Coturnix japonica: one gene and its partners. The protein of the gene in region 4 purifies or fractionates together with the protein of the main gene of each other region. This does not show direct contact. Links are inferred from orthologs where the notes say so. Each region holds a gene or a part of one and is shown on either strand. Other genes may lie near its edges. The genes, in order: PRPF8, DNAJC8, SNRPA1, SF3A1, RBM17, PLRG1 and PHF5A.

Region 1 (4,231 bases), on a different chromosome or scaffold from region 4:
AGTGAGCAGCTGATTAGCCAGTCGATACAGCGTGGACATCATAGGCAGAGTGAACTGCCAGCGCTGGTAGGTAGAACCATTCACATACCTGCAGAGAAACAAAGCATAGGACACTAATTTTGCAGCCACAAAACAACTGGTCTTCTACCTTTCTGCTATTTGCAGAAAATACGAAGGATAGATAACTCTTGTCCCTCTCCAGGCAGAAAAATAAAATGTACAGGCTTGTTGAAGATCTCCATGGACTACATCTGCCAGTTCCCCTCCATCTCCATTATCAAACTGACAAGATTCAAGAGCCTCCAGTTTGTAAACGCACTGTATATTTAATAAACTCAAATAAAAGCTAGATGATCCAGGTTTTCACTCTTATCATGTGTCAAGAAACATCAGTTTTACCAGTTACCCATGCAGTAACCTGCCTGGACAGAGAGGGATTGATTGCCTTCCCTCAGCACTGAAGACAGAGGGATGACTACAGCAGTCAGATTCTCCCTCCTATCCTTGAAAGAAGGTTTTCTCATCCCACCAACACCATGCATAGACCAATATTATATAAGCAAAAGTTATGCACTTTTACATACATTTAATTTATGTAGTGCATGAAGATTTTAGTGCTTATTTTCTTAAAGCCCCACAGTGAATTGTGTTACCAGGCAGGCACATACTTCCTGTTGTCTTTCAGTGGCTGGTGGTCGTAGAACCAGTCCAGTACTGGGGCATCTTCCTCCGGATCCAGCTCAAGCTGAATTGCTTCCAAAGGCTCCACATCGAGAATGTTATCAGCATAATCCAGAGGAGGTTCTTCATCATCAAATGGGGGAAATCTCATTCTCTTGAAGTGACGTCTGTCCCTCTTCTCTCGCCTCATCATAATCCACATGGACCTGGCAGAAACCAGAGACCATTACATTACATGCTGCCTTTATTGTGGATGTGTGGTTATTCACTCATTGTGTCCCCCCAGAGTTAAGTAAAAAGCACTTACCCCCATTGTGCAATGTACACTGGTTCTATAACCCAGGGAATCTCATTGACAAAAGAGATGGCTCCTGTGATGTGATACAGGACTGGAACATCTCTGATTTGCTCCCAGGGCATAGGCATGTTCTCCAAGAGCTTCAGAACAGCGTGAGGCATGTACTTCAAAGCACTACAACCAGAAATCAGGGAAAATTACAGCTGGAAGGCATCGCCAGAGAACAATTACCTGTCTGCAGCAAGTTCAGTTACCTGTATACCTCCCACTCATAAAACTGCTCAGCTAACCTGCACATAAAGGCCTTCTGTGATGAACCCACAAGCCTTCTTAACTATCCTTCTGCTTCAGATTCCACTACCAAAAGGCTTTTCCTACTGGTTGGCTTCAGAGAGATTGCTATGCATTAAAAACATTCAGTAATAATAATACTAAAAAACACCGAATGAGTTTTTATGGGTAACTACATGAACGCAACAGACCCTGCTTTACACAAGACAGTTCTCTGAGCACAAACAACACAGAGACACCCACACGACACTTTAATCACAGGGAAAAAAGGCTGATTAGGTCACAATCTCCCCCCAAAACCTCTTCTAAATGATATTTTGCCTTAAGAACTCCAAGCAAACACTTCATCATCTCATCCTCTCCTGCACCCCACTGCCACCCTTGTGCTGTGATGCTGCTGTCTGAGCTCAGCTGTCCCCAGAGCCCCATTCTGAAGGCACCGCTCCTCATGGGGAGCTCCGTACCCCAGATAGACCCGTTTATCGTGGCGGAACTTCCTGTTGGTCATATCGCCGTGATCGCGGATGATCTTCCTGACGTGCTCGGGGGGCATGTCCTCCTTCTGAGCGTCCACGAAGCCGAATTTCCTCTTCTCGGCATAGCGCTTGGCCTGCAGCTGCTGCCACTTGCGGGCTGCGGGGACACAGAAGTAACGGGATGAGGTGAGGCCGGTCCCGTTGGGCGCGGTGCGATGGATCCAGGCCGTACTCACCTTTCTCCTGCAGCTTCTCCTCAGACATGTAGTCAGGTAGCGGGGCCATCGGGGTCGGTACCGGCGCGCAGCCGCCGCGGTACGGGAAGACGGCGGCCATGACGACACACCTGTGGAGGAGGAATCACAGAATGACCCGGGTTGGAAGGGACCTCAAGGATCATGTAGTTCCAACCCCCTGCCTGGCAGGGCCACCAAACATACACCTTTACTAGATCAGGTTGCCCATGGCCCCGTCCAACCTGGCCTTGAACACCTCCAAGGACGGGGCATCCACAACCTCCCTGTGCAGCCTGTTCCAGGGCCTCACCACTCTCCTAGTGAAGAACTTCCCCCTGACATCCAACCTAAATCTTCCCTCTTTTAACTTCAAACCATTTCCCCGTGTCCTGCTACTGTCAGCCCTTTCCAAGAGTTTACTCCCCTCCTGGTTACAGGTTCCCTTCAGGTATTGAAAGGCTGCAATGAGGTCACCCCGCAACCTTCTCTTCTCCAGGCTGAACAAACCCAACTCCCTCAGCCTGTCCTCATAGGGGAGGTGCTCCAGCCCCCTGATCATCTTCCTGTCCCTCCTCTGGACCCTGCCCAAAATCTCCATAGAGATTTGAGGAACAAGGGGCTCAAACCGGGATCACGGCTCCCTCCTCCCCCCTCCCGGTCCCTTCCACATCCCCGCGGCCCGGCCCCCCCCGCACACACCGGTCGCTGCGACGTCCCGCACTCCCGCACCACAATGGCGGCGCAGCCCACCACCACCGCGCCTGAGAGACCCGGATGTGGGTGGGGTGCGCGGCTAGAAGGCTCGTCCAATCAGCTTTCGGGGCAGCCTCACAGACAGCGGGGATAGCCAATCAGAGCGCGGGGAGGGCAGGAGGCGGGATCAAGTGCGGAAGAGGAAAGGAAGCTGTGTTTAGAGTACACTACCGGTTGAATGCCTATTCATTTCCGGTCCCGCCCTCTGCCGATTTTGATTGGTGGAGAGGGATAGCGGTGACAGCTCGACGCCGGCTCTGATTGGACAATCAGATACCGTAGCTATGGGGCCTAAGAGGCCTAAGGGGCAGATATGGCTGTCCCAGCTATGGGCCCTAAGGGGCAGATATGGCTGTATGGGGGTTTCCTCAGGCAGCCTCCCCTTTGTACATGGGTATCCCTTGTGAGAGAGAGAGAGAGGCCCCATCTCTGTCCCCACAGGTTCCCATCCCAAAGCTGGGCCCTGTATCCTTCAGTTTGGACACACAAGCCATACCCACAATGTGTTCCTATACAGCAGGCTGTATGGAGCCAGCACTGTGAGACATCCCTTAGGGCTCAGAACAACGTCCCCAGTGTGTGGCAATGGTGTGACAGCAGGAACGTGGTGACAATGGCAGCCTTGAGCAGCAGTGGCTGTGTGGGCACAGAGCTGCTGATAGAGGCACCCCCAGCAGCTCCACAGCCTTCAAAAGCAAATTGGGTGTAAAAAGTCCTTTCCCTTTAAAGCCTTGAGCTGATTTGTTTGCTGTTTATTGAAAGCCTGTGTTAGTAAGAGCTGCTGCTGCTGCTTGAGAGCGTTACACCAAGACTTCTGGTTCCTCATAGATGCCCATATCTAACCCATGTGAAACATCCCATTCACAGGAAGCAACTATCACACACCATCATCCTGACCTGCAGCTCACGTGCTCCCACACTCACTTATAGGGAGTTAATAGATCTGGGAACAAAATAACACTAGAAAAGTTCCAGTTGTCTGAAGTTAGCAGCCTGTCCCCAAGGATGGCACTGAAGCTCCCACTGTCCCTAGTCCAGTGCCAGCAGCATCTGATAAGGACAGGTCCAAACCTTCATCTCTCACCTGGCACAGTCTCCTCTGTGAGGAATTATAGGTGCAGGATTTGGCTTTAACCAGCCCTGGACTGAAGGGCAAAGCCTTGGAGATGCCTGGTGCTGTCCCATGGGAAGTGCCAGAGGTAGAACAGAGTCCCTTAGGCAATAGGACCCTGCAGGGTGCAGCACCTAAGAGGTTAGAAACACACAGTAGTGTTTGCACGTCCAGAAAAGCAAAGGGGAAACAATTCTCCCTGCTCCCTTCTCAGGGCTGCCAGAGCCTTCAGGGCTTCTCTGAGCAGCTCCTGGTTGTTCAACCACATCATCCATAGGTGCTGGAGAGCAGAGCCCCCAGTGTCTGATCCACTAGCACCTCCTCTGCCCAGGATCCACAGCCACAAGTCCAAGCAACACTGAAATAGCCATCCTCACTTCCCACA
Region 2 (4,033 bases), on a different chromosome or scaffold from region 4:
ACATGTGGATAACTTTGGCCAAAGCACACAGTCTGCACGGCTGTCTTACACCGCACATAAACACCACCCAGCTTAGTCATCATCCTTCAGCTCCTTGATCTTGTGCTTGTGGCGCTCGATCTCCTTCTGCAGCCTCTGGATCTCCTTCTTGTGGTGATCGATCTCCTCCTCGTGGTGTTTCCTTAAGGCTGCCAGCTGCTCCCGCTCCTTCTCCCTATAACAGAGCACAACGCGGGGTGGGCCCCGCACACACCGGGGTCCCGCAGCGGGGCAGGGCTCAGAGCTCAGCCCCCCCTCACAGAATCACAGAATGACTCGGGTTGGAACGGACCTCAAGGATCATGTAGTTCCAACCCCCCTGCCTGGCAGGGCCACCAAACATACACCTTTACTAGATCAGGTTGCACAGGAGACCCCATAGATCCCCATAGAGACCTCACAGACCCCCACAGAGACCCCATAGATCCCCACAGAGACACCATAGACCCCATATTGAGACCCATAATCAAGTGCCATGGCCCGTCAAACCTGGCATCCTACAACCTCCTGTGCATGTCCTGTCCAGGCCCTAACCACTCTCCTTAGTCAAACTTCCCCCTAACATCCACCTAAAATTCCCCTTTTACCTCAAACCATTTTCCCGTGTTGCTATATCAGTCCCTTTCCAAGATTACTCCCCTCCTGGCAGTAAGTTCCTCACGGTACTGAAAGCTGGCAATGAGTCATCGCCAACCTCTCTTCTCCCAGGCTGAACAAACCCAACCCCTCAGCCTGTCTCTATTGAGGTGCTCCACCCCTGATCATCTCCTGTCACTCCTCTTGGACCCTTATCCATAACTCCACTGTCTATTTTACTCGATGCTTCACACCCGTGTCACCACTGAGTACGCTCCTCTCTGCGCCTGCCTTTTACCGATACGCTCTTCCGCTCACGGATAGAGCCCGCACCTCGCCATCGGCTCCTTGCCCAGCTCCCGAGTTGCATTAACAAGGCGTGAGTCTCCTCACCTTGCTCAGGGGTCCGTCACCCCACCGTTCACACCTTGCCCGCACTCAAACCTGCGGATCCGAGCTCTGCACGCCGCTGCTTGTTTGCTGACCATGATGCTCATCTCAGGCCGCCGCAGCGGCACAGGCGCCATGTCGCCTGCCCTGACACCGGGATCCGCGCGGTGACGCGGCCCGCCACCTCGCAATGTCCGCGCTTCCTCCGCCCTCTGCAGCGTTACCACGCGTCGCCCGCGATCAACGTGACTGGCAGGCGCCTTCTTGGTGTCGTTGTCGCGCTGGCGCATGCGCACAACGTCACGCGGTGCTGGCGATGGCGGCTCCTGAGGAGCGCGGGGCGGGGGGCGCCGCCGAGGAGGCGTTCCTCACCTTCTACAGCGAGGTAACGGCGGCGGGGGGGCTGCGAGCCCGGCCCCGCTATACCGACATCAGTCTGTCCCCTTACGCTAAAACGCGGCCTAACATGGGGGTGCGGCCTGGCGGGCGGAGCGGAGCCTGTGTGGGGGCGGGAGGGGGCGGCCCGAGAACTGCGGTTGTGTGGGGATGTGAGCGGCACGATGGGCTCCGCTGTGGGCTTGCTCTGTGCTGCTCTATGCTGGGCTCTGTTCTGCTCTATCTCTCTGTGTGCTCTATTTGCTCTCGTTTCTCTCTAATGTTGCTCTGTGCTGCTCTATGTTGCTCTGTGCTGCTCTATGTTGCTCTGTGCTGCTCTATGTTGCTCTGTGCTGCTCTATGTTGCTCTGTGCTGCTCTGTGCTGTTCTCTGCTCTGTTCTCCTCCCGCTGGATCCCCGCAGCTCCTTTGCTCTGTGTGCTCTGCTGTCAGCTCCCAGCTCAGCCCGTTGTTCCTGTGTGGGAGCTGGAGGGGGATGACCCCACTTTTTCTCTGTGCATCCCTCAGGTTGCTTAATTGAGCACTGTTCAGTGAACATCTACGTATTCCTTTCCCTAATGATGAATAGTGATTGACAGTCCGGTCTTTGGTTTGGGTTTACAGCGAGAGGATGGGGAAGTAAATTGCGCTGACTGGATAAAAATGGTCAGAGTGAAACGTATTTGCTTGCTTACAGTGATGTGATGGCATCCAATGGGCTCTCCTGGCAGTGCTGGGTTAAAAGCAGCTTTGCAGCTGGTATCCAAGGTATCAGGATGACGGCACTGGGAAAGTGTAGGAGTGAAGTGAGGGCAAAAAGGCTCCGTTGCTGAGCAAGACGTGGAAGACAAAGACAGAAATGTTTTCTGGGTTTCTTTTATAGCTAAAAGATGATGCTGACGGTGCTGTTACACTGTGTCCTGCTAATGTTGAGTTACTACAGGCTTGAGATGAGCAAGAGGTGTTGTGAGTTATAGCACCGAATGATAACAATTGGTGTAGCCATCACATAGGAAAGCAGGTAAATATGTTGTTATGGTTGGTTAATGAGAGCGTCTTTTGTTCTGCAGGTGAAGCAAATTGAAAAACGAGATTCTGTTCTAACATCAAAAAACCAAATTGACCGGCTGACCCGACCTGGATCTTCCTATTTCAACTTGAATCCTTTTGAGGTTGGTCTGATCGTGTTCTCCTGTCTGACATAGCACATCCCATTCTAGATTTACTGAGTATTTCTTAATGGAAAGAGGCCAGAATCAGAAAGGTACCGAATTCTAACCATGGATTACAGTGCAGGAGACAGGAGGATGATCTATATGTGCTTGTTTTCTTTATGGCAGGATGAAATTGTTGTTGCCATGCTTCTCTTGTTTAACAGCACTGGCAGAGTAATGCTAACTGCTTTGTGAATGATAACATAACAGGTGGCACGCTGTCAGGTTCCCTTCTGACCACTGTGGTCTTAGGGTTTCTGATTGTCCTTTATTTTGGGTGTTCATCCCACTGAACTTCTGTTCATAGAAGGATAGAGAGACTCACTTGTTATAGCAGAGAGTAATCCTGGAGGAGTCACTGGGAACTGCATAACTCCATTGCATGATGTATTGTGTTGTTCCAGTTGCAGTTAAAATCTTACAAGGAAAACACTGAAGGGAATACATTGTGATGTTCTGGGTATTCGTACAATCACAGATTGGCTTGGGTTGGAAGGGACCTTAAAAGCCCACTCAGTTCCAACCCTCTGCCATGGTGAAACTATTGCAATAGGTGACTTGCAAACTAAGGTACAGCATCATCCACAGGGGTCCAGAAGCAGAGTGCAGCCGGTATTGAAGGAGTCCATTAAATGGTACAGAGACTGGAGTGAAGTGCAGACCCTGCAGCCAAGTTCTGTGATCCATAGTGGTTCCCTGGGCAACGTGAGATGTTGGCAGCATCAGGAGAACCTGACAATACTGACTCCTAGAAAGAGCAGTGTTGGAATGGGGACTTGAGCTGTGAATTCATAACTATGGAAGTTCTGTGACCAGACTTAAAGCACTGGGTTGGGCATTGCTCAGAATCTATGTTCAGCTGTTCCCAGCCTCTCTGATATCTAAAGACAAACAGAAATGCAATGGAGTTTATTTTCTGCCAAATTACATTGGCACACTGAAAGAAACATAGCACTGCTAAAAATACAGTGTCCCAAACATGGTGTCCCTTAAAACGTTTCCATTTTACTAGGTGAAAACTCATATCCTGAAGCAGCTCCCATTGGGGTGAGCTTTCTGATGTGCCTGTATGCTGATGAACCAAGTTTTCAGAGCTTGCCCACCTTGAAACGTGGGGCATACAGTTGAATTTGCTCTGTTGTTGTCTTTTTTAGGTTCTGCAGATGGATCCTGAAGCTACAGATGAAGAAATAAAGAAAAGGTTCCGACAGGTATTTGACTTTTGCATTTGAAGCTTCTGAAATGAAACAAGAAGCTCTGCAGAGATTGTGCAGCTGTGCTTGGGAATGGGGAAAGCAGTGGAAAAGCTGTGTCTGGGTAGAGACAAGCAGCTGTTTTGTGAAGAAATGTGTAGAACAATCTTTGTATCTGTGAGGGGAAAGCTGGTCTGTGCATGGTTTGCTGCTTTGTAACATGAGTGACTGAGCCAATGTGAACTGA
Region 3 (4,105 bases), on a different chromosome or scaffold from region 4:
GCTCTGGGATCCCCCTGTTGTTCTCGGGCCAAACCAGAGGTCAGAAATGGGGCGAAATGCTTCTGGCTTCTGCCACTTTGCTCATCAAATAACAAACTTCCATTGCTGTTGTCATGTCCCAGTCCCAGCCGGGAGCACCGTGTCAGCTCTGGCACTCAGCTCTGCCGTGGTATATTTAGATGCACTGAAATGCTGAATTTACCCTTATCCTTGGCACAAACTATGAAAGCACAGCCTGGCTGAGGTAGTGCAATTGAAGATGACCAATCCCCAGCAGTCTGTGCTTTCTGCTGCCTTCCAGCCCACAGGGAAAGAGAAACAAATCCTCCGTGTCGAGTTCATACAACGACATCAGCTCCCAGTGTTTCCCAGGGCTCCGACTCCCTCAGAAATCATTCCTGGAAAGCAATAACATTCAGATTATTTATCTAAGCTATTGCTTGGAGCTATTAAAGCCTCTCAGCCGCTGGTATGCACAGAGGATCAAAGTGTGCCTCTACCAGATAAACGAATACAATTTATTAAAGCACATTTCTTCATTGTCTCTTGGCACCAACAACTCAACTCTAACAGCTGGATCTTAGTGCAGCCTGAAGCCCCGCTCGCAGTTTGGCTGTGAGGCTGCATCCACAGCAATCTTAAAAACCACCACTTGGACTTTCCAGTACAAAGGAGCTTTCCAGAGCTCGTGTACAGCATCTGAAACCAAGAACTGCTCTGTTACAACCCCATTACAACCCCTAGAGCTGAGCAATACAGTGTGTTGTGCTATAGGAGGAAGGTCCGCATTCAGGTGGCTCTGAGACGCCTCCAGCTGTGTTGGGCTGTGCACAGGGAAGCAGTTCCCTCTGCTGACCGAAGTGCTGCAGCGCTTCAACTGCGACCACACCAGAATTGGGCACAAGGACAACTTTTATTTATTTATTTTTTATTTATTTAAATTGGCTCTTATTTACAATGATGCACTGGCACGGGTTGCCAAGACAAGCGATGGATGCTCCCCTCTACAACACCCAGCGCTGTCCCTTCTAACCCAACCACGCTGTGATTCCATGATTCTGATTTCTATGCGCTTTCCTTCCAGCTCGACAGCTCAGAAAAGCCACCTCTATACAGCCCCTCCCGGCCGCCATTTTGTGGAGGAGGGGCTGCAAGAGGACGGCCCTCTTCCTCTCGGCTATGCTCGGCTGTGTTCGGCTGTGTTCGGCTGTGCTCGGCTGTGTTCGGCTGTGTTCGGCTGTGTTCGGCTATGTTCGGCTGTGTTCGGTTGTACTCGGCTGTATTCGGCTGTGTTCGGCTGTTCTCGGCTGTACTCGGCTGTTCTCGGCTGTACTCGGCTGTGTTCGGCCTCGCTCGGCCGTGCGGCGCGTTGTGGGCTCGGTGCGGCCTGTGTGTCCGGGCGGGATGGTGAAGCTGACGGCGGAGCTGATCGAGCAGGCGGCTCAATACACCAACGCCGTGCGAGACCGAGAGCTCGACCTGCGGGGTGAGATGGATCTGCCGGGAGGGAGCCGGGCCTGGCTTTGTGGGGGGGGATCGGGAGCGGGCCTGTGTGGGGCCTGCGCTGAGGGGAGGCGTGGGGCCTGCACTGGGAACGGGCCGTGCAATGGGGGGGGTCGTTCTGTGTGTTAAATGCCTCTTTCATGTGTCCCCAGAGCTCCATCCCATCCTGCTTTATTCCCTTCTCACGTTTCTTTTCCCCCCCACAGGGTATAAAATCCCCGTCATTGAGAATTTAGGGGCTACGTTGGATCAGTTCGATGCGATTGATTTCTCGGATAATGAGATTCGGAAATTGGATGGGTTCCCTCTGTTGAGAAGGTTGAAAACTCTTCTGATGAATAACAACAGGATTTGGTACGTGGTTGTGTTGTGATCAGTGTTGTGATCAGACGGGACCTGGGGCAGAGCAGAGTGAAGAAGGGAAAAGAAGCGTGCCCGTGTCTTTTAATACCTGATAGGTGTAAAAATATCTGCTTTATGGGGAAGAAATAGCGCTTGGTATTTGCTTCAGCCTTCAATTAGCCGGCTTTGTTCATTGCAAAGTTCTGCCCCAGCTCTGTGTTCCATTTTCATACAGGACAATGAGATGCAGGGCCTGGAGTTTGTGTTGGGTCCTTGGGGGTTGTTCACTACCCCCATAGTGATGCACAGACAGGGGTGCCTGCAGCTGAGTGAACAGAGCTACCTTGCTGCACCTGGTGCCCTTACAGTGGCAGCTGCTGTTTTATGTTGGCTTTGTTACAAAGCTGATGCTCACCCAAACTTCTGCTGCTGTCATACTTGGCTGTGTTTAAGTGAGGTGCTCTATGTTGGCATGGCTGCCCAGGGAGGTGGTTGGAGTTGCTGTCTCTGTAGGTGTTCCAGAGCCATGGAGAGGGGACAGAGGTGGCCCAAAATGCTTTCAGCTGTGTTGGCCACAGACAGGTTTATTGGGCATGGTGGGGATGGGCTGAATGATCTCTGAGATCTCTCCAGCCTTAATGATTCCGTGATTTTTAATATATCTGTGTCTGTGTCCACCATTGTTAATTTCCAGCCAAAGGTAAAATCTTTGTGTTTTTATTCTTCTGTAGTCGGATTGGGGAAGGACTTGAACAAGCTCTGCCCAGTCTCACAGAGCTGGTTCTTACCAACAACAACATTTCTGAACTGGTAAGTTAGTGATGCAGAATAAATCTTGACAGCTCTAATGTTTTTGTCCTCTTTCTAATTAGTCGTCTTCTTCAGGAGCTTCATTCTGAAATATTTGATTGTCGTGAAATGGATTTAAGATTCTTACTCTGTTCTTCCATTATATAGGGTGAACTGGATCCATTATCAAGTATTAAAACATTGACTTACCTGAGGTGGGTAATCTTGAAAAGAAAAGCAGCGGCTTGTTGTGATATATTTCAATATATTCAATACATGAAGTAACTCTTTGTGACCTTTATTTGCCTCGTAGCATTTTAAGGAACCCAGTAACAAATAAGAAGCATTACAGATTATATGTTATCTACAAAGTTCCCCAAGTCAGAGTGCTGGATTTTCAGAAAGTGAAACTCAAAGTAAGTCTGTTACCTTCGGATTGAACACCAGATGGAGACCTTTTCTCCTATTAACTCATAGAACTGTAGTGAAATCAGTAAAGCTTTTTGCCCCAGCTGTAAATGGCAGTGGAACAGTTTGTCCTATGAGGCTTTAAAGCTGGTGCTTCTCTTTGATGGTTTCACGCCGTTAAGGATGTAATCTGCTTTATTGTTTTTAATTGATGTTTCACTGCTGTTGTTTGTTTAGTCTGATTCTTTTCTGGCTGGCCGGTGTTGGTGGTGATAAGGGGAACGTAGAGAAAGGAATGAGGGATCAGAGCAGAGCCCTCTGCTTGGGGCTGTTGCTTCTAAGAGCACTGAAGTGCTACACCTCGAGTTGGAGTGTTTGTGCAATGTGTTTGTGCTTGTCCTGGGCTCCTCATGCTGATGTTCACTGAAGATGAGCCAAAGCATCTTTCTTTGCAAAGAGCAGCTCTGCGAAATGCTACATCCTTCCATTAACTTTGTATGTGTGGTATCGCTGTAGGAGCGACAGGAGGCAGAGAAAATGTTCAAGGGCAAACGGGGTGCACAGCTTGCAAAGGATATTGCCAGGAGATCAAAAACGTAAGATAAAACAAACGCTTGCACTGGCGTTCTCCTTCAGAAACACCACGTTGTGTGCGGCACCGAACTGAGACGGCCCTGGTTGTTTGGATGGTGGTGAACACATCTGAGATCTTTATGGTAGACCCGTTTGGTCAGGGTGGATCGGGATATAGCAGTAAACAGGGAACTCTGTGTTATTTTACTGCAGAGAGGGGGCTGTGGTTTGCTTGGTTTTGCTCTCTATAGTGACTGGGAACTGAAAAATCTATTGATCACATTGAGGGTGCTCAGTGAGTGCTTAGAACTGTTATCAAATGTGCTCTCGCTGTGGTTAATGAGTGGAAATGGCCCATGTCTGTGATGGCTTTTGAACAAGTGAATCAATGAATCAAACACCCAGTTCACATCCCAAATACACGCAGGACAGGGCGCAGGTCTGTGAAGCTGGGTCACATTTAGGCAGCTCTTTCAAGCTGTGACTTCCA
Region 4 (3,991 bases):
AAAGCTTGAGTTGGAAGGGACCCCCACAGTCAGTAAAAGCTGGTGGACAAAAGAACTGAGCACAGCCCCGACAAAAAGGACCTGGGGGTACTGGTGGATGGCAGCTGGACATGAGCCAGCACTGTGCCCTCACAGCCTGAAAAGCCAACTGTATCCTGGGCTGCATCCAAAGCAGTGCAGCCAGCAGGGTGATGGAGGGGATCTGCCCCTCTGCTTTGTGAGACCTCACCTGGAGTGTTGCATCCAGATGGGGAGTGCTCAGTGCAGGAGAGACACAGAGCTGTTGGAGCATAGCCAGAGGAGGGTCAGAAAAAGGGACTGAGACACTCGAGACCAGGCTGGACAGGGCTCTGAGCACCCTGATGTAGCTGTGGGTGTCTCTGTTCGCTGTGGGGGAGTTGGACCAGATGGCCTATCAATGATTTTGTGATTCTTTGACCTCAAAGACCACCCAGTTCCAACCCGCTGCCCAAAGCACTTGGCAGCATCACACATCTTCTCTCCGTGGGGAAGGAGCTGCTGTGCCCCTGCTGCTCTTTGCAGGGTGCTGTGCCCGCTCACCTGTCTATCACCAGCTCCAGCAGCACCACATGCGCATGCTGGCTGAACTCAGGATCCCCCTCGGCGTGACTGTACCGCTCCAGCAGCGCCAGCAGGTCCAGCTCACAGGACACTTTGTTGGGGAACTTCCAGGATGGGAATCGTGCAGGGCCGGTGCGGGAGGTGACGTCGGCGATGGCTCCTTGCAGGTCCCTCAGGTCGGCCTGCAGGCTCGCCATGCAGCCGGGGTGGCCCAGGAGGTGAGCCATGGGTGGACAGACAGACGGACAGATGGATGGACCAGCGCTGGGAACGGATGGTGGGTGACACCAAAGGGCTGCCAGCAGGATGGAGGGGACAGGCGCTGCGTCCCCAAGGCTGTATGATTTGGGGTGAGGGGTGTCTAGGCAGCGGCCTGCAGGGAGCTGCGGGAGGCGAACAGCAGCGCTGTGTGCGCTGAGGGCGCTGGGACGCCGGGACGGTCCCACCGGCTGCAGGTGATGCTGGAGGCGGCCGCCTGGGACTAGGCCGCGGCGCCGCACCCGCTGCCATGGCAACGCCCCGCCCGCACGAGCGGAACCACCCTCTGCGCATGCGCTCCTCCCCTCTGCGCCTCCTTCCTGTCGCGACGTTGAGCGTCACTTCCGGCGCGCATGCGCAGTTCGAGGTGCCTGTCCGCCATTTTGTCAGCGTCTCGGCGCCTTCTTTGCGGCCTTGTCTGAGCGGTCTGTTGTATCGCCATGCCGGCTGGGCCTGTGCAGGCCGGGCCTCCGGCGCAGCCAGCGCCGCCTGCAGAGAGCAAACCGGTAGGAACCGCGGCATGGAGGCTTCGGGCCTGTGGGCGGGATTTAGCGAGGGCTGCATGGCCGATACGGGGCTGGGTGACCGGCCACCCCGGGGTTTAATGCCTGTGACGGGGTGCGGCCCCATGTGAATGTACCGTCGCGTTGTTATGGTGGAGTTAACGAGGGAGCGCAGCGTTGTGGTCGTTTAAAAGCAGCGCTTAATGGTGGTGTTACACCGCCCTTCCATCTGCTGCTTGGAGGAAGTGGGGGTGAATGCTCCAAGGGGTTGTTGTGTCTTTCTTTTAACGTCTTTTATAGATCTTTAAGGTTGGGAAAAGCCGCAAAGATCCCCATGTCCGACCCCAGCCGGCCTCCACCGTGCACACTGCCCACGTCCCTTAGTGCCACAGCTCCATCATCCTGGGGCACCTCCAGGGATGCTGACCCCCCCCTTTGCTCTCTGTGCAGCCTTTGGCACTGCATCACCGCTTTGTGGAGAACAACTATTTCCAAATCTCCAATGTTTTGGGTGTTTTTGTTTTGTCTGGCAGGCTTTTAGTTACCATCAAGATGTCCCCTGTATCTGTGCTGTGAGGGAAGGGAGGCACCGTCAGCATCCTACAGAGAACTGCAGCTGGCTGTGCTGGGAGGCAGAGCTGCCCTTGGGGTGATTGCTGGGGCTGTGGTGCAGGTCCTCCCACAACCACAGGGAGGAAAACACTCAGCTGAGCTCTTCTCAGCTCTAAAAAAAGCTTTAAAGCCCTAGTAGGATGGGATGCTATGTGTTATTTACTGTTGGCTTGATCGTTTAGATTCCCATTTCTGGTAGCCCTGCAGACCGTTAGGAATCATAGAATCATTAAGTTTAGAAGAGAGCTCTAAGATCATGTAGTCCAGCTGTCACCCCATCCCCTCTATACCCACTGACCACTTCCCTCTGTGCCACATCCACATGTTTCTTGAAAGCTTCCATGGTCAGTGACTCCAGCACTTCGTGGGCAGCCTGTGCCAGTGCAGCACTGCTCCTTCCGAAAAGAAATATCTATGAATATCCAACCTGCAATGCTTGTAACTTCCAGAGCTGTCCAGCAATACTGAATTCTTCCTGGGTGTGGTGTTATAGGCATGCTTTGCTACATCTTGGCTCAACATCTATAAACTTCCACTGGGTTGAGGCTGAAAGAGCAGAAACACTGGGAAGAGTTGTTTGGTTCCCATGGGATGGCCTTCCTGCTTGTCTCACTCGCAGCAGCCCCCGCAGCAGGTGCCCTTGGCAGGCTGACAAACACCATCTCCTCGCCTGGGAAGCTGCTGAGTGCTGCTGCTTTGCAGGACTACAGGTTCAGATTGTTAAACTATATCTTCGTGCCACGAAAATGTCATGGTCTGAGGAGAACAGGCAGTTCTGTCTGCTGCAGGAGTTGCTGTTTGAAATGCTTAATTCTTCCAGAGCACTCCTTCAGCATGGTATTTCAGAACAGCTTTTTAAGGTACCATAGGACTGTTACTCAAGGTACAGAAACTGAAAGAGAAAGGGAAGTGAATTTTACAACTCAACTCACTAAAAATAAACACAATCAAAGTTTGGACACTACCAGGCTGTGTTTGCACACTCTGATGCTGATGTATGATGTGATATTCGAGATCATTTGTAGCTCCTTTGCTTGTTACCATGTTAGATTTAGGCTGTTTGAATTTACTATCTTGACTAGTGGCAAATACTGCAGAGTGAAATGTGTCTTCCAGAGATGGTGGTTCAGGAATGTTTTTGCTACTTAGGAGGTAGCAATACATAAGACTGTAAGAAAAATGTTTTTCTTGCAGCCAGAAGAGGAGCCAAAAGAGGAAGCAGCACCAGCCAAACCTGTGGTGGGAATTATTTATCCTCCTCCCGAGGTCAGGAATATTGTTGACAAGACTGCCAGCTTCGTAGCCAGGTAAACAGCAGTGGTGTTGTCTTGTCTTTCATGGGAATTTTCTGCCTCTCACCTTCCAGTGCTACTGTCTGTGTGTCTCCAGAAGCTGAAACAAATCACAGTCCCACAGCGTTCCCTGGAGGTTTCTAAGGATTGAATTTTTATCAGTGAGATTGTAGAATAGAGGCAGCAATTGTCTCCTTGGAGATTTAATATGTGCTTTGCTAGAAAAGCTGTGGTAGTAAATAAATTCTTTTTAAAATGACCTGGAGGGCAAACAAAATTGCAGGTGGAAAGGAAGCCTTGTTTGTTACTAGCACTTATTGAATGACTAAGCCAACAGGAGTCATTCATTTATTTTTACTCTACTTTACATTGTGTGGGCAATTACCTCTCCTTTAGGGTACACTAGGTTCCTTGTTGGACCCTGAGGCTCAGTCCCATCCCTGTTCACCTACAACTTCATGAAGTGTGCCAGCACCTGGGGCACTCTGACTCAGCTGTCTCTTCCCTTCTATAGCCAAGGGGATAGAAGTGCATGTTCCCAGGGAGAGGTCTGGGGTAGGTGAACTGCCCATGATGTGCATGGCATATTTATCCTAGTTTAGTGCAGCAGGTTGATTATCACAAGTATAGATGTCACAGTTAGGGGAGAAGCCTGGAAGTTTAATACATCTTTATTCATTTGGGCTTTTTCCTCCTGTTACCAACATGAAAACATAAACTGCTGGTGTTAGCCAGGCCATCTTA
Region 5 (2,250 bases), on a different chromosome or scaffold from region 4:
ATTAAACTGGAAGCTCAGAAGTTGGTGTGACAGCTTAAAAAGGCAGAAAAGCCAGTTAGAAGAATAAGTCTGTAAACTCAGGAAGTTTTAACAGCTACTCATTCAGAACAGCAGTATTTGCTGAAATAAAAGCCTATTCTCCTATTTCAATTTATGTTCACATCACAATAAATGGATTACCAGCATGACATTCAAATTGTTTAACTCCTGTAAGCAAATATATGCTAATTGCTATTAGGCTAATTTCTTCATTTTACTACATAGTAGAAAAGGCTTTAAAGTATATTGCTCAAGGTCAAACAGAAAAACTAACAGCAGAGGTAATAGAATCTGAATTCTGTTATGGCCCCGAGACCTGTGGTTTTAGCATTAGTCAGGTTGGTTCTTCACCTTTGCTGCACTGAGGATCTTCTAATGGTGGATTACAGCCACTGCCAACACCTTGGAGGGAAGGCCTTGTGTAAAAGAAGAGGACATTAAGGAAGCTGACACACGGTAGGTAAAATACAAGGGTTTTTTTTTACAAAAAATTGTTTTCTCTTTTACAGGCAAATGTTTGTACAGGGGTTGCTGGAACACAAGCAGACAAAATAAGCAAGAAACAAGACGAAGGGTCTGTCATATGGATCTGCAGCCAAAACTTAATAAAAAAGGCAAGAACTGGAGATACTCACAGCATTGATCAACTACAGATCTATATCCCCTCCCCCAAATACATGTGTATAACAGGAAAAAGACATCCAGCTTTTGAACAGCTAAAATGCCCTCAAAGCTCCCTTCCATTTTAATGCCCACACAACTTCAGTGGGAATTGTAAATGCAATGGAGCACACAGCCACCATCACTGCACAGCCTTCTCTTGCCACCTCTGTCACATACGGTTCCCAAACAAAAGGTGAACACGAAACCAGGAGGAGAATGCTACATACTATTTTACACCAGATTGCAAAGAGCTGCAGTGTTTAGAAGTTTAGTTTGTCATTTCTTCATACTTTTCTATGAGCATTTTCTTCCACTGCATTCTTCTTAGGTGTAAATCAATTAAAAGTTAGTTACCTACGTTAGAAGAATTGAGAATCTGATAGCTGGCCAGATGAAAGTTTCTCTCAGTTCTATAAACAGCATTTCAATAACTACCTGCAATCAGTTAAGGCTGCTAGCAAAGACTGTCTGACAGTGCAGAGCATCTGCTAACAGTCCACTCATTCTGATTCAAATGCCTGAGCCTTTTTTATTTCCTTTCTTATTCCATTTCCCTCAATTTAAATGTGTTTTCTTTGGACTTGGGAAGAAACACAAACTCACTCCCTTTTACTTTAGTCTCCATTCTGGCATAGAAAATATTGTGCTAAAGTCAGGAAAGAACAAACTAGTTGCCAACTGTCCAACGACTCCAAATCACTCTGGTGTGCAGAGATGGAGGACTGACCAGCAAGGGAAATATCAGGAAAGAGAAGCATAATAGCACACAGTCCTTTTCCAAAGCTTCCCACTTACAGTGGATGCTGCACAGGAAAACTGTGAAGAAGCACCAGAACAAGGAAAACAAGGATACAGACAAAGCATTTCCTCAGCAGTGGGTTTGCAAAATAATTGAAGTCAAGGGATGAAAAGTTCAAAAAACCAAGGATTCCCAGAGCAATAAGCAGAATTGTGCAATTCAAAAACACAACAGACATGAATCTTAATTTCAAAGGGCTTTATATTACAAAAAAATGAAGTCACAACGAATGCGAAAAATCCATTCAATGAGGCTTGTTTCCAGTCTGCTAGGAAAGCTACTTTCTCTTCTTTTTTCCCAGCCTACTGCTGAAAACATGATTGCCAAAACAGTGACACCTCGAGCTAGATTTTTAAAATCAAACTTGCTCTGCCAGATCCAGTACTCTGAACTTGTCCAGGTTGTAGAAACAAGCCTTCACCACTCGGCCGCCAAAGTATCTTCCATTTAGATCCACAACAGCTATAATTGCAACAAAAAAAGAGGTCAGCAAGCAGCAAATCAGCGACTAAAAATCTGAGTCCAATGAGCGAGACTGTTTAATCTCTTTGAAGAAATGAACTCTGAAATTCATATGACACAGTTTAATAACCTACCTTTAATTGCAGACTCAACCCGTTCAAATTCCAAAAATATTCTTACAGCTTCATCATCAGGGGCACCAGGAATCTGAAAGAAAACCCAAAAACAAAACAAACCCCAGCAGGTCTGATTAGAACAGTAACAAAACCACTGCATCACGCAGCACT
Region 6 (4,121 bases), on a different chromosome or scaffold from region 4:
TGAATGAACCACATGCCCATTGTGCCAAGACTGGTGTGCGGATTTGGGTTGAAGAAGCATCTGTCCTAGAAGGAGCCGTGTCTGTACCACAAGGCTTTTTCCTGAAGAGGCTTTTCAGCAAAGCTCCACCTGCATGGGGACATGACTTACACTGGCGAGAAATGCTTCTAGCATGAGTCAGAATCTGGAACTGCAGGGGGAGCAAGGTATATTGGAAAACATACATGAATATAACAAATATTTGGGGAGCAGGACCTAATCTCCATTAGTTGGCTTGCTGGGTGTGAGATGGGACTTTTCTTTGATGCTTGCAACTGTTACAGCTAGGCTGACACTGTATAACGACTGGATAAAGCCTTATGAACAACCAAGAACATGGCTTAATCTTCTTCTTAAAACGGTGTCAAGGAGGCTTTGTCTCCAAACAGAACATCTTTCTTCGTTGTGTTTTCTTCACTTCCTCCCCAGCTCACATGGTTAATGAGAAACTCTTCCTGAACTCACGTAGTGTTGATAATGCAACAAATCTGCTATGAAGAACTGCGAAAAGAAAGCATTGACCTGATGGTATTCCGGTATCTCTTTGTAGCATTCCGAAATGGTATTCCAGAACATCTCTTTGTACACTGCTTTTGTCCTGGAGAGCTACTTACTGGCAGAGGTGTATGTGTGTGTTTTTAGGAATGAATTTTCATGTGCCGCCTCTTGTGTTTGCTTTGCCAAATCATCTGCCCATGGTGCAACACTCTTTACACAAACCCCATCCTTGTATGTTGGCTCCTTTAGGCTGAACACATCACAGAGGTAATTTGGGCCAAGGGGGAATAGAGCCATCTTGGGCCACTGATAAGCTGTGCCAGTAAATGTGATTTTGAAAGGAATCCAGTTGTTGGCAGCTGATTTAGAAACGTCCTTGGAAGCCGCTGGCGTTGTACATGTCACACTGTGACAGGGTTACTGTAGAATTAGATGTTCAATTAGATGTAAACGTTTGGGGGGGGGGGGGTCTTTAAAAAAAGAGTGTAATTACAGGCCTCTGTAAAATCTAAGGATGCTGTAATAAGTAGCACATGTAAGTGAAGTTTTCTTACAAAACACAGATCTTTCTTTTCTCGGATTGCTACAAAGGTCTCTATTTCAAGGAGGTTTTCCTTTCAAGATGCACTAAAAACGAGCCCGATTCACTCAGCAGACGACAGCACGCAAAGTGCCGAGACTGTAAGTTCAAAACAAAACAAACCAACATATTATTATTAAAACAAACCAAGAACAAAACGCCAGTGCAACACCGCACCCTGGCGTTGCAAGCTCCTCAATGCAGCCCGGCGCACCCGATTTGCGTCACTTCCTATGAGGTATAGAGCAGGAGCCGGACGTGTCTCCATCGCTGTCGGTGGGGAGCGGGGAGCGGGGAGCGACGGCGCCATGGTGGAGGTGAGGGCGGTTCAGTTCTTGTGTTACTGAGTGTTGTTGGTAGGAGCACAGAAGATGCTGTGCAGTTCTCCTACGTAACAGTTCTTTTACTGGGTGTCATCACTGTCCAGAGATATCTATAGTTGTTCACCTCCTGTTGTGGAGGTATTGAGTTACCTATTGCTTTTATTGCGACAAGCAGACATTTGCTACTGTAATTCCTGTTTCTTTTTGCAGTTGCATGGAATTTCTAGTTCCCAAGCCCTATTATAGATGTTCTTTATTTGATATCTAGATTTTACAGGACCGTCCTGAGCTAAAAGTTTTGTGTGGGCCCTACTGAGTTAGGGGAGTATGAAGTGTGGCAGAATGGGGCAATGAGTGGGTAAGCAGAGTCCAGGGCAGGAAAGCAGAGCTTAGTGGAGGAAGCCCCAGCTTAATGGAGTGTGGAGGCTGGGCAGCTGAATGGTAACTAGAGCCCGAAGTTCTTAATGCTTCCACTCTGTGTTGCTCCTATTTGTGACATACAGAGCGAGCACAAAGAGGCTCATACTCTGATTATCACATCTCTAATTATTTATTTATTGTGCCTTGAGAGGAAGGTAGGAATTAAAACCTGAATTGCGCGGTCCTAAACAAATATTCTATATAAGCTAATAGCTTTAAGTTCTACTATTTTGGCCCTGACTGAGATATTAACAATTATTAGCTTTTAGTAATGTGTAATTTCAAAAGGACAAGAGGCTTTGTCTTATTTGATCCCAGGATTACTTCTTATAGTAAACATCACTGTTCTTACATAGGGTGACACTGTGCAGAAACTGATGTTCATTTTTATGGAGGTAGTGCAATAAAGGAATGTTTTCAGAATCAGGTACTTTATTGTTTAGGTATAAAAGCATCTAGAAAACATGGAAGATAAACGTATTCATGTATTTTTAGATGATAGTGCAAATTTTTTCTGGCTTGTCATTTCTGAGAAACTGGGTTTTACTTTGAGCAGGCATTGAATTAAAACAACTAATAGATATACTTGAATCTGTAGTTTCTAAGAGGAGCAGTGTTTGATGGGAATAGTGTTGTATCATATGCAAGTCTGAAATTGCTACTCAGTTTCTTTTTCAGATTTCAGTTTTTCATTTAAACGTGGCTAAATTTATTTAAATATGCTTTCCTTTATTTTAGGAAGTCCAGAAGCACTCTGTGCACACACTTGTGTTCAGATCTTTGAAGAGAACCCATGATATGTTTGTAGCTGATAATGCCAAACCTGTACCATTAGATGATGAAAGGTGAGTGCTGTGGCTGAGTTTTACTTTGTTAGCAATTGTTCTATAGAATCATAGAATCACCAAGGTTGGAAAAGACCTAAAAGATCATCTAGTCCAACCGTTCACATTACTATTAGCTCCCGCTAAGCCAACACAACATCCAGTCGTTCCTTGAACACCCGCAGGGTCGGTGTCTCCACCACCTCCCTGGGCAGCCCATTCCAGTGCCTGACCACCCTTTCTGAGAAGTAGTAGTTCCTAATGTCCAGCCTGAATATCCCCTGCCACAGTTTGAAACCATTCATCTAGTCCTATCACTAATGACAAGAAAGAAGAGGCCAACCCCCAGCTCACTACAACCTCCCTTCAGGAAGTTATAGAGAACAATCCTATCCAAATCAGGAGTTTGGGTGTTCAGTACAATTAGCAGTTAAGGGAACTGAAAAGCATGAAGATTGTAATGTTAGCTGTATGAAAGGTTTCCTGTTTTTTAAAATATTTCAAAACTTAGTAGCAGTTCAAAAATCAGGATTTAATCAGGATTATGCTCTGTTCTTCCAACAGCCACAAAGTAAAGATGGCAGTCAAGCTGCGTACTGAGTACGGCTCAGTATTGCACATGCCTACTCTTAAAGAAAACATGAGAGAGAAAGGAGGCCCAGCCACTGGGGATCCATATGGACATAAACAGTATTCCGGAAATGAAGGTTTGTTATTCCTAGTACCATGTTTGTTCTTTGTTTTCACAAGGAAACAGTAGGAGACTTAATTCATTAGTAAAACAAGCAAGTTTTAAGGTAATGCTAGTGTGTGCTATATTTGGGTATTAGAGAGCTAATAAGGGTTGAGGATGTTGTCAAATTGAGGATGCTTTGCACCACCTACTCTGTTGTACTGTTTTGTTTGAATGCGTTATTTTGTTGGTCTTTAGGAGAAGAACTGGAGTATGTGATAACTGGCACACATCCATATCCACCTGGGCCTGGTAAGTAAAATTCTGTGTTTAAATCAGGTATTTCAGAGTTAAACTGAGATTTTTTTTTTAATTATTTTTTTAATTTTTTAATTTAATTTTGTTTTTTTTTTTTTAAGGTGTGGCTCTGACAGCAGACACTAAGATCCAGAGGATGCCGAGTGAATCTGCAGCTCAGTCCTTAGCAGTATCTCTTCCTGCTTCTCAGTCCAGGTACTGCTTTATTACTTCATTAACATTTGCATAATCTACAAGAACTACAAGTCAAAACAAAGTACTTTGAATATTCAGCTTTATAAAATACCTGAAAACCTGATCTAATGGTTTGCAACCTTGCCCATGGCAGGGGGGTTGGAACTAGATGACCTTTAAGATCCCCTCCAACTTAAGCCATTCTGTGATATGATTTTAAGTTGGTCAGATATCATCTTGGTGTATGCAGTGTTCTTTCTTGGCTGTCATTA
Region 7 (3,952 bases), on a different chromosome or scaffold from region 4:
AGACAACAAAACTACTGCTTGTCACAGCACTTCTAGATGTAGAAGGCAGTACCACCAACAGCATTTCTATCCACATATAATACTTAGATACTAAGAAAGATGGTGCTCCCGCCAGATCTACTGACTAAATTCAGACACGGGCTTGCCCTGCAAGACCTCTAGAGAAAATATGGGTGCTGCAGAAAATTAAAGCAGCAGCTCAGTCAGCTAAGTACATTCCTCTAAATCAGAGCTGTTTGTCAGCACACTCTGCTGACATCAGGGTGTGCTGGAGATGGTGTTTGCAAAGGATCCAGCCCCAAAACCACACAGCCGATACTCTCCATTGGGTCCATACTCTGACACACTGCAACCGCAAGCATCACGTTCTTGCATTTCCCTACAGTCTTTCTACTACTTCATTGGCAGTTCTTCATGACTTGCCCTCACTATGATGGATATTATTGAATACCTAGAGAGCGAGCATCTGCCTTGTCAAAGGACGAAGGACACTAAGGGCTAATTTTACTGTAACACAAAAGTAAACATGGGTGGTGATTCTGTAGGCCTTATGGTACCATATATGCCAGTGGCATGATCATACCATGTATGGTATGATCACGGACACAGTAAGAAGCTGATCCTGCCACTGCCTTTGCAACGTCTAAAGTGTCTCTGCTGCTGATAAAACTTTGGCTGAGAGATTTAGTAAGATAACAGCTGAAAGTGGTAACAAGCAGAGCGTGGAGGAAGTGAACTGTGAGTATGCATCGTAAAGCACACAAGGATCCTATGGGATACAGAATCGAGGCACTGCTCGCTACCTCAAAGTGCTCCACAAACACTGGGAACCACCGACAGAAAAAGAAACATGCAAGGAAATGAAAACCAGTGCCAGTTCTGGGAGAGGAACCCAAGCATCCAATGTCCTAACATTAATATCACTTGCTCTAAGTCCCTTTAAAGATAAGCATAGCTATTAAACAAAGACATAAGCAATTCTACAGGAGACTGGATGACAACGTACATCTTTTTCCTGGATGGTGCACTCCTTGCAGTAGTAGGCATCAGACACCCCTGGGCCCCCGCAGATGACGCAGCGCCCTTGGTACGAGCCGTAGTTACACTCATCACATATGCGCACCAGGGTGCAGGGCCGCACGTACGAGTCACAGATCACACATTTGCCATCACCTGCAAGTACAGCAGTCTTTGGTTACAGAACGTCCTTTTCTCCACCCCACATAAAAGAGGAAAAGTCTGCTGGACAAAGAACTTGCCTGTATGCTCAAAGACAACGCAGTTAGACTGCAGAACTTTAGCTTACAGGCACAAGGTGCAACTTTATATTTACACAGACTTCAGAGGAACGAGGGCCAACAGCCAGCCATATCCAAGGCCAAAAAAAGGGCAAACCGGCATAAATTGCCACTTCACAGAGTTGCTCTTGCTTTCTCACAAGGGACTGAGAGAAATACAAGTGCTCTTATCATACAGGCAAACAGCCATCAGATGCCATGGACAGTCTCTGCTCTGCGGGCCCCGATCCAAAACTCTGACCTCCAGATGAAAGGCTTCAGATCTTATTACCAGTTCCCAAGGTATTTAATCCTGACTCTCACAAACAGCTCATTTAACCTGCTCTTCAATCTCAGTCCCAACTGCCCTCAGCTACTACCACTGGGAATCCATTTAACTTCTGTGTACTTCTGAAAACAGTTCAGTTGCTTCAGACTGTGCTTCTCCTCACTTCGCTTGTTTTTAACATTTTTTGGAGCCTAGAAATAGCTGGCTTACTTGTACTGAGCTCCTGCAAGGATCTAATGACCAATTGTGCTTATTCTTTTCTGCTATAGGTGAGCACGAGCACAGAATTATAGGGGTTGGAAGGGATCTCCAGGAATCAAGTCCAACACTTTGGCCAAAGCAGGTTCCTTGCAGTAGGTTGCATAGATATTTGTTTTTGCATATTCATCTGCTGTAGCACTTTTTTCCATCCATTTCCCATTCTAACAGATGCTGAAGGGAAGCTGTGCGGTCTTTTTCTCGCACTTGCTCCATACACTCAGGCCAACACACAGGTCACTCCTCCCAGCCCAAGCTGCAGTTACCTGCTATTTCTATTTGGTTGTGACCCCAAGTCAGCAGCAGAGCAAAAAGAGAAACCGAGCTGCAGGCACTTACCACAGAGTTGGGTTCTCAAACAACTACACGCAGAAGATGTACTTACATTTCTCACAAAGCCTTCCAATTGCTGTAAGGGGAAAAAGAATGCGAAAAAACACATATTACTTGAGGCTACATTTAGAACGCAAATACAAGCGACGCCTGTCCTCAGGGCACACCCACCCGGCCCACAGTCCCTCCGCACGGTGTCCGGCCAACGGCTCCCACCGGCCATAAGGAAACCCGCACTCAGCGCCGCATCGCGATCCCCAACCACATCCCTGCGGCCTCGGGGAGCGCCACGAACCCCGAGCTCAGAGGGCCGAGGGAAGAACGAGGAGCTGCGCGAGGGGCCTGACGGGCACCTAACGGGCACCTAACGGGCTCGAACTGCCGCCCGAGCCCACCGTCAAGGTGCGGAGGGCCACGACCGCGCCGGTACTCACCGACGCCCGCCTGCTTGCGGCAGAAGATGAGATCCGGATGGTGCTTGGCCATGGCGCCGGCGACACTTCTCGGTGCTCTGCCGCCGTGTCCCGGTCCTGTCAGGGGTGTGGAGAGCGTCCGACAAAGCGGCGCTCCGGGAGGGGACACCGACCCGTAACCGAGCTCCGCATGGTGCTTCAAACCCAATCCGCCTCGCTGCTCCCTTCAACGCGGGGAACGCCCGTACCCCCGCCATGGGAACGCCGCTCTCTCCTCCGGTACCTCCCTGCCAGGACCCGCTGGACCCCGCCCCCTTCAGCCTCCTCCCGCGCCAGAGGTATCAAAAGGGCGGACTGACGCCATCGGGGCGCGACTTCATCTTTGTCAGTGCACAAAATGGCGCCGTACTGCGTCCTGGCGGCTCGGCTGCGGGTGAGCGCCGCGGGACGGGCGGGGCCGGGCGAGGCCGGGCTGGGCGGTGGGGTGAGGGCCGCTGCAATCCTGGACGGAGGGCAGAGGGAGCGCGGGGCGGCGGGCGGAGGCGTGGGGCCGGGTCTCCGCTGTCTGCGCGTGTAGGTCAGCGCGTCCCCGGCGCGGCCCGACGCCCGTTTCCATGGCGATGGCGGGGCCGCACCGGCGGAGGCGGCTCGGCCGCCTGATGGGCCTCGGTGTCGGGCGGGTCCCGCCGCCTCCGGGCACCGCTGAGCCTCAAGGTGAGCGCAAGGTGACCGCGCCCGGGTAGGCCGAGATATCGCGCCTGGGGCCGTGCTTCCTCCTTCCGCGGGCTCCTCCTCATCTCGTGCCGTTAGCAGCCTGTGCCCTTGGCTGCCCGGCTCCAGGACTGCGGCCTTTCATGTGGATGGGAGTTCCTAGATCTGTTTGTTAAAGGGGCCGTGCAAGGCCAGGCGGCCACATCAATTATCTTTTTATTATTATTATTTTATTTTCCAAATGGCTTGAATCTACCTTCATAATGACTCTCCCAGTCTTCTCCATTGTGACCTCTAAAACCCACGTCTGCTTGTGCCCATCACGGGCACTACAGTACTAAGGGCATTATCCCGTTTACTATCTACTCACTAATAAACACTTGATTGTTTTTTAAAGCCTAGAAGGCAGTAGAATGCCATTTTCTCATGTAGTGCTGCTTGCTGTGCTGCCCTCAGTACGTGCCACATGGTGAAGCTGAGAGCTCGGACTGCTCCATTTGCCAGCTGTGACCTTGGGGAGGGTGTTCCCTCTACCCAGGGAGCTGCAGCAATAACCTTATCAGAGAGTCACAGAATAGCTCAGCTTGGAAGGGACACGTGAAGGATCGTTGAGTGAGGTGCTTTGAAAGCACTTTGTGAAGAAGGCAGTGGGCGTAATACCAAGCTTGCCA

Evidence for each region.
Region 1: the proteins of SF3A1 (region 4) and PRPF8 purify together in Homo sapiens (affinity purification with mass spectrometry; 4 studies listed by BioGRID and IntAct, with this or other methods). This does not show direct contact. The link is inferred for Coturnix japonica from reciprocal best matches to the Homo sapiens genes SF3A1 and PRPF8.
Region 2: the proteins of SF3A1 (region 4) and DNAJC8 purify together in Homo sapiens (affinity purification with mass spectrometry; 4 studies listed by BioGRID and IntAct, with this or other methods). This does not show direct contact. The link is inferred for Coturnix japonica from reciprocal best matches to the Homo sapiens genes SF3A1 and DNAJC8.
Region 3: the proteins of SF3A1 (region 4) and SNRPA1 purify together in Homo sapiens (affinity purification with mass spectrometry; 6 studies listed by BioGRID and IntAct, counting the BioPlex papers as one, with this or other methods). This does not show direct contact. The link is inferred for Coturnix japonica from reciprocal best matches to the Homo sapiens genes SF3A1 and SNRPA1.
Region 5: the proteins of SF3A1 (region 4) and RBM17 purify together in Homo sapiens (affinity purification with mass spectrometry; 4 studies listed by BioGRID and IntAct, counting the BioPlex papers as one, with this or other methods). This does not show direct contact. The link is inferred for Coturnix japonica from reciprocal best matches to the Homo sapiens genes SF3A1 and RBM17.
Region 6: the proteins of SF3A1 (region 4) and PLRG1 fractionate together in Homo sapiens (co-fractionation; 3 studies listed by BioGRID and IntAct, with this or other methods). This does not show direct contact. The link is inferred for Coturnix japonica from reciprocal best matches to the Homo sapiens genes SF3A1 and PLRG1.
Region 7: the proteins of SF3A1 (region 4) and PHF5A purify together in Homo sapiens (affinity purification with mass spectrometry; 3 studies listed by BioGRID and IntAct, with this or other methods). This does not show direct contact. The link is inferred for Coturnix japonica from reciprocal best matches to the Homo sapiens genes SF3A1 and PHF5A.

Annotation. Positions count from the first base shown.
Region 1 is NC_029534.1:4,156,542-4,160,772, forward strand, and holds the start of PRPF8 (pre-mRNA-processing-splicing factor 8), read right to left. Parts: upstream 2,801-4,231; 5' UTR 2,682-2,800; intron 2,093-2,681; 5' UTR 2,083-2,092; coding exon 1,983-2,082; intron 1,904-1,982; coding exon 1,735-1,903; intron 1,154-1,734; coding exon 989-1,153; intron 888-988; coding exon 669-887; intron 89-668; coding exon 1-88. UniProt on the Homo sapiens protein: Plays a role in pre-mRNA splicing as core component of precatalytic, catalytic and postcatalytic spliceosomal complexes, both of the predominant U2-type spliceosome and the minor U12-type spliceosome.
Region 2 is NC_029538.1:1,423,203-1,427,235, reverse strand, and holds the start of DNAJC8 (dnaJ homolog subfamily C member 8), read left to right. Parts: upstream 1-1,233; 5' UTR 1,234-1,321; coding exon 1,322-1,390; intron 1,391-2,449; coding exon 2,450-2,551; intron 2,552-3,747; coding exon 3,748-3,804; intron 3,805-4,033. UniProt on the Homo sapiens protein: Suppresses polyglutamine (polyQ) aggregation of ATXN3 in neuronal cells.
Region 3 is NC_029525.1:15,973,711-15,977,815, reverse strand, and holds the start of SNRPA1 (U2 small nuclear ribonucleoprotein A'), read left to right. Parts: upstream 1-1,305; 5' UTR 1,306-1,404; coding exon 1,405-1,486; intron 1,487-1,709; coding exon 1,710-1,857; intron 1,858-2,576; coding exon 2,577-2,655; intron 2,656-2,802; coding exon 2,803-2,849; intron 2,850-2,947; coding exon 2,948-3,050; intron 3,051-3,558; coding exon 3,559-3,638; intron 3,639-4,105. UniProt on the Homo sapiens protein: Involved in pre-mRNA splicing as component of the spliceosome. Associated with sn-RNP U2, where it contributes to the binding of stem loop IV of U2 snRNA.
Region 4 is NC_029530.1:9,656,315-9,660,305, forward strand, and holds the start of SF3A1 (splicing factor 3A subunit 1), read left to right. Parts: upstream 1-1,191; 5' UTR 1,192-1,280; coding exon 1,281-1,346; intron 1,347-3,149; coding exon 3,150-3,262; intron 3,263-3,991. Other genes in the region: coiled-coil domain-containing protein 157-like, read right to left, coding at 558-809. UniProt on the Homo sapiens protein: Component of the 17S U2 SnRNP complex of the spliceosome, a large ribonucleoprotein complex that removes introns from transcribed pre-mRNAs.
Region 5 is NC_029516.1:3,132,081-3,134,330, reverse strand, and holds the end of RBM17 (splicing factor 45), read right to left. Parts: intron 2,171-2,250; coding exon 2,098-2,170; intron 1,964-2,097; coding exon 1,860-1,963; 3' UTR 501-1,859; downstream 1-500. UniProt on the Homo sapiens protein: Splice factor that binds to the single-stranded 3'AG at the exon/intron border and promotes its utilization in the second catalytic step. Involved in the regulation of alternative splicing and the utilization of cryptic splice sites.
Region 6 is NC_029519.1:18,056,570-18,060,690, reverse strand, and holds the start of PLRG1 (pleiotropic regulator 1), read left to right. Parts: upstream 1-1,321; 5' UTR 1,322-1,350; coding exon 1,351-1,434; intron 1,435-2,598; coding exon 2,599-2,705; intron 2,706-3,248; coding exon 3,249-3,391; intron 3,392-3,615; coding exon 3,616-3,669; intron 3,670-3,776; coding exon 3,777-3,870; intron 3,871-4,121. UniProt on the Homo sapiens protein: Involved in pre-mRNA splicing as component of the spliceosome. Component of the PRP19-CDC5L complex that forms an integral part of the spliceosome and is required for activating pre-mRNA splicing.
Region 7 is NC_029516.1:45,263,379-45,267,330, reverse strand, and holds the start of PHF5A (PHD finger-like domain-containing protein 5A), read right to left. Parts: upstream 2,801-3,952; 5' UTR 2,644-2,800; coding exon 2,592-2,643; intron 2,476-2,591; exon of another isoform or gene 2,381-2,475; coding exon of another isoform or gene 2,329-2,380; intron 2,234-2,328; coding exon 2,210-2,233; intron 1,174-2,209; coding exon 1,007-1,173; intron 1-1,006. Other genes in the region: ACO2 (aconitate hydratase, mitochondrial), read left to right, coding at 2,968-3,003.